3 linked regions of the Saccharomyces cerevisiae S288C genome follow. Changing the gene in region 1 together with any one later gene gives a genetic interaction. Each region holds a gene or a part of one and is shown in the gene's direction. Other genes may lie near its edges.

Region 1 (3,196 bases):
CACCTTACTGAATACGTCATCAGTTAATGATCAAACGAAAAACCTAATATTCATACCTCACACATGCAACGATTCTACCAAGAGCTTCAAAAAATGGATGCAAGAAAAGGCAAAAAATTTTGAGAAGACCGAGTTAAAGAAGACGGATGATAGCGCAGTTCAAGATGTTCGTAATGAACATGCTGACCAAACCGATGAAAAAAATAGTATATTATTAAATGAAACTGAAACCAAAGAGCCTCCGTTGAAAGAAGAAAAAGAAAATAAACAATCTATAGCAGAAGAATCGAATAAGTACCCACAGCGAAAAGAGCTGGCTGCCACACCAAAACTAAACCATCCAGTATTAGCTACTTTTGCAAGGCAAGAAACTGAAGAAGTGCCGGATGATTTGTGCACTTTGAAAACAAAGTCACGTCAGGCATTTGAAATCAAAGCAAGTGGTGCACATCAATCTAATGATGTGGCAACCTCTTTTGGCAATGGTTTGGGCCCAACAAGAGCAAGCGTCATGAGTAAGAACATGAAGTCATTAAGTAGACTAATGGTTGATAGAAAGCTGGGAGTAAAGCAGACAAATGGAAATAACAAAAATTATACAGCCACTATAGCAACTACTGCTGAAACATCAAAGGAAAATAGACACAGATTAGATTTTAATGCTTTGAAAAAAGACGAAGCCCCTTCGAAAGAGACGGGCAAAGATAGTGCTGTACACTTAGAAACTAATAGAAAGCCCCAGAATTTCCCTAAGGTAGCTACCAAATCAGTCTCCGCAGACTCCAAAGTTCATAATGACATCAAGATAACAACCACAGAATCTCCAACAGCATCGAAGAAATCAACTTCCACAAACGTCACCTTACATTTTAACGCACAGACAGCACAGACAGCACAGCCGGTGAAGAAAGAAACGGTAAAAAATTCCGGATACTGTGAAAATTGTCGTGTAAAATACGAATCTTTAGAACAACACATAGTTTCTGAGAAGCATTTGTCTTTCGCTGAAAACGATTTAAATTTTGAGGCTATTGACTCGTTAATTGAAAATCTCAGATTTCAAATATAGGGACACGACGTAAAGTGCAGTAGCTTTTAGTGATAAAATCAAAATAGTATTGTTCCGTTTCCATTGCTGCTCGGAACAAAAAAGCTATCAACGGCAATGTTATTGAATCACTTTCTCATTCACCCTTGTTACTTTCTTGCTATTGACTTAACTCTTATTTACTCGTCCATATATTATCAATTGCATATATATACATATACATATATATATTATCATCTAGATTAATTACCGTTCATATCATAACTCATTCTGAACAAATAATGATCGAGTACCCACCGCGGTTAATGTCCCAGTTTTCATTTTTACCCGATATCCTGCAGAGACCGAGAGGCATGAAAAAAAAAAAGCTAGTTCTCAACTGCATTAATTGCAGCTCGTATTCATGGTTCAACATAAAAGAACTTACGCTACAGCATTCCATTTGAATAACTCAGAGTATTAGTAAAAGAAATGTGTGAAGAGAATGTTCATGTTAGTGAAGATGTTGCTGGCAGTCACGGTTCTTTTACGAATGCCAGACCTAGGTTAATTGTACTAATAAGGCATGGGGAAAGCGAATCAAATAAAAACAAGGAGGTCAATGGTTATATTCCTAACCATCTGATTTCTTTAACGAAAACAGGTCAAATCCAAGCTAGACAAGCTGGTATTGACTTATTACGTGTTTTAAACGTAGACGATCACAACTTGGTGGAGGATTTGGCTAAGAAGTATATTAAAGATGAAAGTAGCAGGAGAACTTTACCGCTGAAGGACTATACCAGGCTGAGTAGAGAAAAAGACACAAACATAGTTTTTTATACATCACCCTATAGAAGAGCAAGGGAAACATTGAAAGGTATTTTGGACGTCATCGATGAATATAATGAATTAAACAGTGGTGTTCGTATATGTGAAGATATGAGATATGATCCACATGGTAAACAGAAACATGCATTTTGGCCGAGAGGACTTAATAATACTGGTGGTGTTTACGAAAATAATGAAGATAATATTTGTGAAGGGAAGCCTGGAAAATGTTATCTGCAATATCGGGTTAAGGATGAGCCAAGAATAAGGGAACAAGATTTTGGTAATTTCCAAAAAATCAATAGCATGCAGGACGTTATGAAGAAGAGATCTACGTATGGTCATTTCTTCTTCAGATTCCCTCATGGAGAAAGTGCGGCAGATGTATATGACAGAGTCGCCAGTTTCCAAGAGACTTTATTCAGGCACTTCCATGATAGGCAAGAGAGAAGACCCAGAGATGTTGTTGTCCTAGTTACACATGGTATTTATTCCAGAGTATTCCTGATGAAATGGTTTAGATGGACATACGAAGAGTTTGAATCGTTTACCAATGTTCCTAACGGGAGCGTAATGGTGATGGAACTGGACGAATCCATCAATAGATACGTCCTGAGGACCGTGCTACCCAAATGGACTGATTGTGAGGGAGACCTAACTACATAGTGTTTAAAGATTACGGATATTTAACTTACTTAGAATAATGCCATTTTTTTGAGTTATAATAATCCTACGTTAGTGTGAGCGGGATTTAAACTGTGAGGACCTTAATACATTCAGACACTTCTGCGGTATCACCCTACTTATTCCCTTCGAGATTATATCTAGGAACCCATCAGGTTGGTGGAAGATTACCCGTTCTAAGACTTTTCAGCTTCCTCTATTGATGTTACACCTGGACACCCCTTTTCTGGCATCCAGTTTTTAATCTTCAGTGGCATGTGAGATTCTCCGAAATTAATTAAAGCAATCACACAATTCTCTCGGATACCACCTCGGTTGAAACTGACAGGTGGTTTGTTACGCATGCTAATGCAAAGGAGCCTATATACCTTTGGCTCGGCTGCTGTAACAGGGAATATAAAGGGCAGCATAATTTAGGAGTTTAGTGAACTTGCAACATTTACTATTTTCCCTTCTTACGTAAATATTTTTCTTTTTAATTCTAAATCAATCTTTTTCAATTTTTTGTTTGTATTCTTTTCTTGCTTAAATCTATAACTACAAAAAACACATACATAAACTAAAAATGGCTAGAACTTTCTTTGTCGGTGGTAACTTTAAATTAAACGGTTCCAAACAATCCATTAAGGAAATTGTTGAAAGATTGAACACTGC
Region 2 (2,501 bases), on another chromosome or scaffold:
TCTAGGGTTAATGACATTGTATTGTATACTTTCGTTGTGCTAGTGGTGGCGTGATGCAAGAAGCTGATACATACCTGAAAATGAAAGAGGACGTAGCTATACGGTGTTTGTGGACGAGTTCACATACAGTACTGAAAAAGATGAGGATGGGCTGAGATAAAGTTTGAATGATAATGAATATTATTACATCTTCTTTCATTTTATATACCGTCATTCATTATCCCATGAAATTATCAAGCCTCGCGTTTCAACCTCTACTAAAATCGTTGACTGTTTCTCAATATTTATGTCTTTCTTACGTTGTATACGATAATATACACGTACTATGGATACTAGTCGATATATGATAGTTAATTCTCATTCCAATAAAAGTCGACACTACCGCTACCACCTAAAGTTATACTGTTTTTATGCGTGCGTACGCAACAGTTCATCAGAAAAATGTCTATCGTCAGAATCATCCCTCTGACATTTCAATTCCAAAAAGATTGCTCTATCTTTGGAAAGTGGCTAAACCTAGGAGTATTATAAAACTCACAAGTTCTTAGAACTTGCTTCGAGAGATCATAACAGGACAAGTATAATACGAGACGGAATAAGATTATCATACCAAAGATACAAAATAAAACAATTGGTAGTCTAAGGTGACAAAATTAACTGAAGCTGTAGCTAGCAATAAAAAAAAGATTCAAGATGTTCAGGGAGTGACGTATATTCCAATGCTTCCAATACAGCAGGCTTCAAGATTGTTGCTTCACTTTCAGGGCGGTGATTTGAAAGCAAACTCCCAAATTTACACTTAATTCTTCTCCTGAGCTGTTCAATGCAAAATGCACAAATTGTTATTTCCCATATAATAATTCCAGTTGACAGCACTATATCTAAAGGTTTCCGTATAATGATGATTTACCGCGTAGTATCATATAAGGGAGTAACAACAGCATTAATTATCGTGCCATTACTAAAAATAACTTAAGCATCAAGCGTAAATTATTGAACTCCAAACTCTATCAAACACTTAAAATAAACCAATATTGAAGAAAATTCGCAATATGTTGTAAAGATTCTGCTGACTAGAAATGGCAGGTAGGATTTTTTTTTTCTATCTAAAATGGTAAGATGAGCATTTTTTACTTGGAACGAGTGTAAAAACAGCAAGGTTACAGCCACATAATTCTCTAATAATACTGATGGAAAGCCGTCTTATTCGGAAGCTGTGAGTATTTTTTTCGTTGATTTGTTGCCAAAAAAATCCATGCAGAAGTGTACTCACTGGTTTTCATTTACCTTTTCAGCAGCACACCTGCCTGCCCCTTATTTTTAACGATTTCTTTCCATTTAGCGTAACTGCTGCCTCGGATTATTATGGTGTTTTTCCACCAGCTCTGCTTAAAGCGTAGAGTTCGCTTGTCTTCTCCCTCCCATCAACAGGAATTTTATTGATCGCGTAATTTCCTACCGACAGTTTGCAGAATGCCAGGTCAGACAGATTAAATATTAAATGAATAGCCCCATAGAATAAGTACTATATATACGCTGCTAGTTTCTTTGTTTTGTCGAGTTTGGGACCAAACCAATACCATTTGTGGAATCACTGCACATATGCAATACTGTGAACTCGATTTATCAGGGCAGTGGCTGGATACAGTATATTGTGAAGAGAATTTCTCCGACTTTGTCTTTATAAAGTTTCTAAATCCTTCACAGTTTGAAGAGAAGATATATTGTTATACTTTACATATCACCAAAAGGACACTAGAAAATAAGAGATTACTTTTGTATTATGAAGATGAATTCAAAAAACATGGTCACGATATTAATGAGCTTGTTGGCGACGGTATAATCTTGCGTTCATGCTGGAACCCTCGACAGTAATCAGACCGAGATTCATGCGTATGCTAGCTCTGTTGTCGACTCAGTAAACTTACAGCAAACCAATGGTACTATCAATCTAATCATAACTGAATTCAATGGTACTACCATTGGCTTTGATACAAACGTTACCAAAATTAATATTCTTGACGCCGACTTTTCTTTTCTTCGCCAACAAGTCAACCAAGAAATGCTAAAAAGAGGAAAAGGGTGTCTTAACGCAAGGTATCGTATCTCGACTGGAGGTTGTACTGATTGCGGTAAATCGCTCGGCTATTCATCTGCACACAATTGCGGTGGAAAGGGCTATTCATGCATTAAAACGTGCACAGAGAAGAATGGTCATGTTTGCTGTGAAGAGTGGTGTGGATCCAAACGCGCTGTCCAAAAAGAGGGATTTGAGAGTGGATGCTGCTTTAATAATCAATGTTACGGTGGCCATGACCACCATGATGAGCTTTAAATAATAAAGTTTAGGTAATATATATAAAGTGGGATAGTATACAAGCAAGAACGTATTAAAATAAAAGCTGGAAAAAAAAGTCACCAAAGCACGCATCTATGTGATGGCTTATTCAATCTTATATAAAGAAGAGCAATAATCTTGGGCTATTTTTGACTGAGAAAAC
Region 3 (2,958 bases), on another chromosome or scaffold:
AAAAAGAAAGTTCAGCAAGTTTGCTGGAGGTTGCAAAGAGACTAACGAAGGGCTTTCATAACGACATTTTACAGTTATTGATAAAAGAATGCTTTTACGACAGCAGAACCTATTGGTTTGAAGAAGATAGAGGTCTAGTAGTATATTGTTGCTTTAATGATTCAAACTCTTAACAATGTGGGCAAATATGCGTATGATTTCGTTCTGGGAAAGGATAGTAAGAAGCCTTTTTGATTACAAAACCGTGAAAGACGGTTTAGCAGCTTTTACAGGAAACCTGCTTTACCTTAGCCAGTGTTTTCTCATCTTCAAAAAAAAGTATTGTACGCAACTCTTCCATCTAGCAGAGCTCCCGCTCTTTTTCAAACAAGTTTCATTATATTTATTCTTAATAATTTTGGTATCATCGAGGTGAGGTCTTCGTTGTTTCAACACCAGCTATTTTTCAGCGGCTTACAATTACGTAGTTCTATTAACGAATACACTGGGAGGTGAGTATAATCATGGACTGTAACACTATACGACTCCAACACGTTATATGTATCAGTTATATATATATATTATATTATTTTGGGAAGAGTAGCATTGCTTTTGAAAGTACACGGGGTTTACTTTGGCTCATAGAATGGGTCTGGATATGAAATTCTGAAATATTCAGATTTTGGAGTACTGAAAATATTTAGCAAGAATTTCAAATATTAGTTAGTAAACCAAACCAAGGCATCTGAACTTGAACCTCCATAACTCGCTTTCTAACATAATGAGCTTGTATGACATAATATTATAGAACTCGAGGTTAACCTTTAAATATAAATATAGTAATCTTCATGATAATAATTTCAGGGTAGTGCGCGTATTTGTCGAAAAAACGCAAAATGACAGAAATTCTATGTTTACTGACTTTAGATTTTGTTTTAGATCAATTGGCGGAAAAAGGACGCAGTCTGTAACTTTGATTGGCATCTTGATTTGATTTGTTGGGTGGTTCTCTTACAATCAATGGTTTATTTCATGGAAAGCTTGATGACATGTGATAGCACACCATGCTAATTAGTGAAAAGAGTCCTTGTTGACTTACCACATGTGCAGCCGCCTTTTACCGTGGTGCGAAGCATATTGAGCGGCCTGGAGACCAAGAATGTCAGGGCCTTTAAACAATAGAAGAAGTGTATAGGAAAAAACTAAGGTGTTTTGAGATATTTTTTATAAAAGTAGTATTTCTTAAAAATCAGCGGGGAGCCATTCTTTGAAGGCGCGCTTGCAAATTTTAGGTATTGGGCTTGATTATTTTGGCAAGTGTCATGCATTGTAACAAATCTATATAAAGTGACAATTCTGGAACACTGTATCGTAATCCCAAATAATGTATGTAGAATAGAAAAAAATATATGAAAAAATGAATAGATCATACACAGACGACATGAATAGCAGCCCTCCAAATTACTTGACAACAAGGACGTTTAGAATCGTTAGATTGTTTGCAATAATTTTTGCACTGCTTTTGGTAGCGTACTCATTATTTTTAAGCACACTTAGAACTGGAGCTATACCTGACCGCGCCAACACTGCTGCTCTAGTACGGCGAGCTAGGTGATCATTTGCGACTGGATTAGGACTAGGAGGATTTTTAATTGCTGCAGCCGCTTATGCTACTCCTTACTGGGTCGCAGCAACCTGTATCGCATCCACTAGCGGAATATGTTCACCTATAGCTGGTGCTGTTTTAGCAACTTCAGCAGTTATAGTTGCAGCAGTTTTAGTGGGAAAGAGTTCTGGCTCAGCAACAAAGCGAGGGTTAAGTGAGACTATTAATGTACTGAATCATACTATAACACTCACTGATCATGTGCTCAATGGGCAAACATTGTCTAATGGTACTGGTAGTAATTTTGTTACAATAGAGTTTAGTGGGTATGCAGTACATGACACTATTAAACGTGACGGTGCTGCTGAGATCAACTTTGTGGGGTATACTACGGAGCATGGAACCCACATCAGCACGAGTAGCGTACATAATGTGAGCATGCTCATCGATCAAATCGTGGCAGCGGTACCAGGGGTACCTGATATAAGTGGCAACGCTTCGGCCCTATCGTTACAGAGACGCAGTCAAGAGTTCGCCACCTCATGGATATCAATGACATATAGTCAGAGTTATGGTGACCTGGCACAGAACTGGCAGAATGACGAAGGTGGAGCAGGAAATTTTGATTCTTATGCTGAAGAGAAGTTACAGAATTTCTTTTCAGGTAATAGGGATTGGAAATACTGCTTTGCTGCTGAGGACACGAAAAACGGTGAGCCACTTGATTACGATGACATACCTGGTGACGGTGCAGGCACGGGTTCGGCATTCAAGTCTGAGATATATTTTAACACTTACGGTGGTATAGATAATTATTGTAATGACGAGCATATCGGTGCTCAGAACACTGGAGATGGTCGATAAAGCTTTACGCCTGTCGCTGAATTGACTGACCCGAAATTAAGAACTGTTGACGTAGTGAATTACGATCTAGTTTATATGTCATAATGTAGTAAGTTTATTGGACCCTTCTATATGTTATGTAAATGTAATAATTACATAGTTACTGCTTTTGTACATAGAAACTATAGTTTCTTAAGTACTACCGGATTAGAGGTTTGCTACTATATGTTTTCCTTGTCTCAAGCATTACTGAAACAACTCTGAAACAATACTAAAACATTACTCATATCATGCTTTTGGGTTACCACATTCAACAATAACTCGAATACATTTATAAAAAAAACAAAACTAAGGTACAAAACACACACCACACCACATACGCGCTGATTGGTTTTATGGAAGCTAATAGTTCAGACATAGCTCAGAAAAATAATAATAAGTATTATCAAATATAACTCATCTGGTTACATGCTAAGTTCTTGTCAAGTGATATAGCGTTATCTTTATTATTGAATTAAATTCTATAATTA

What was found.
Region 2: mutations in DET1 (region 1) and YOL159C-A together harm fitness more than expected from each alone (negative genetic interaction), as found in Saccharomyces cerevisiae (one large-scale study listed by BioGRID).
Region 3: mutations in DET1 (region 1) and YER187W together harm fitness more than expected from each alone (negative genetic interaction), as found in Saccharomyces cerevisiae (one large-scale study listed by BioGRID).

Annotation. Positions count from the first base shown.
Region 1 is NC_001136.10:556,384-559,579, reverse strand, and holds DET1 (acid phosphatase DET1), read left to right. Parts: upstream 1-1,519; coding exon 1,520-2,524; downstream 2,525-3,196. Other genes in the region: protein serine/threonine kinase activating protein DBF4, read left to right, coding at 1-1,069; triose-phosphate isomerase TPI1, read left to right, coding at 3,108-3,196. UniProt on the Saccharomyces cerevisiae protein: Metal-independent, broad-range acid phosphatase. Involved, either directly or indirectly, in the bidirectional transport of sterols between the endoplasmic reticulum and the plasma membrane.
Region 2 is NC_001147.6:14,607-17,107, reverse strand, and holds YOL159C-A (uncharacterized protein), read left to right. Parts: upstream 1-1,602; coding exon 1,603-1,875; downstream 1,876-2,501. Other genes in the region: YOL160W (uncharacterized protein), read right to left, coding at 2,454-2,501.
Region 3 is NC_001137.3:564,207-567,164, forward strand, and holds YER187W (uncharacterized protein), read left to right. Parts: upstream 1-2,023; coding exon 2,024-2,449; downstream 2,450-2,958.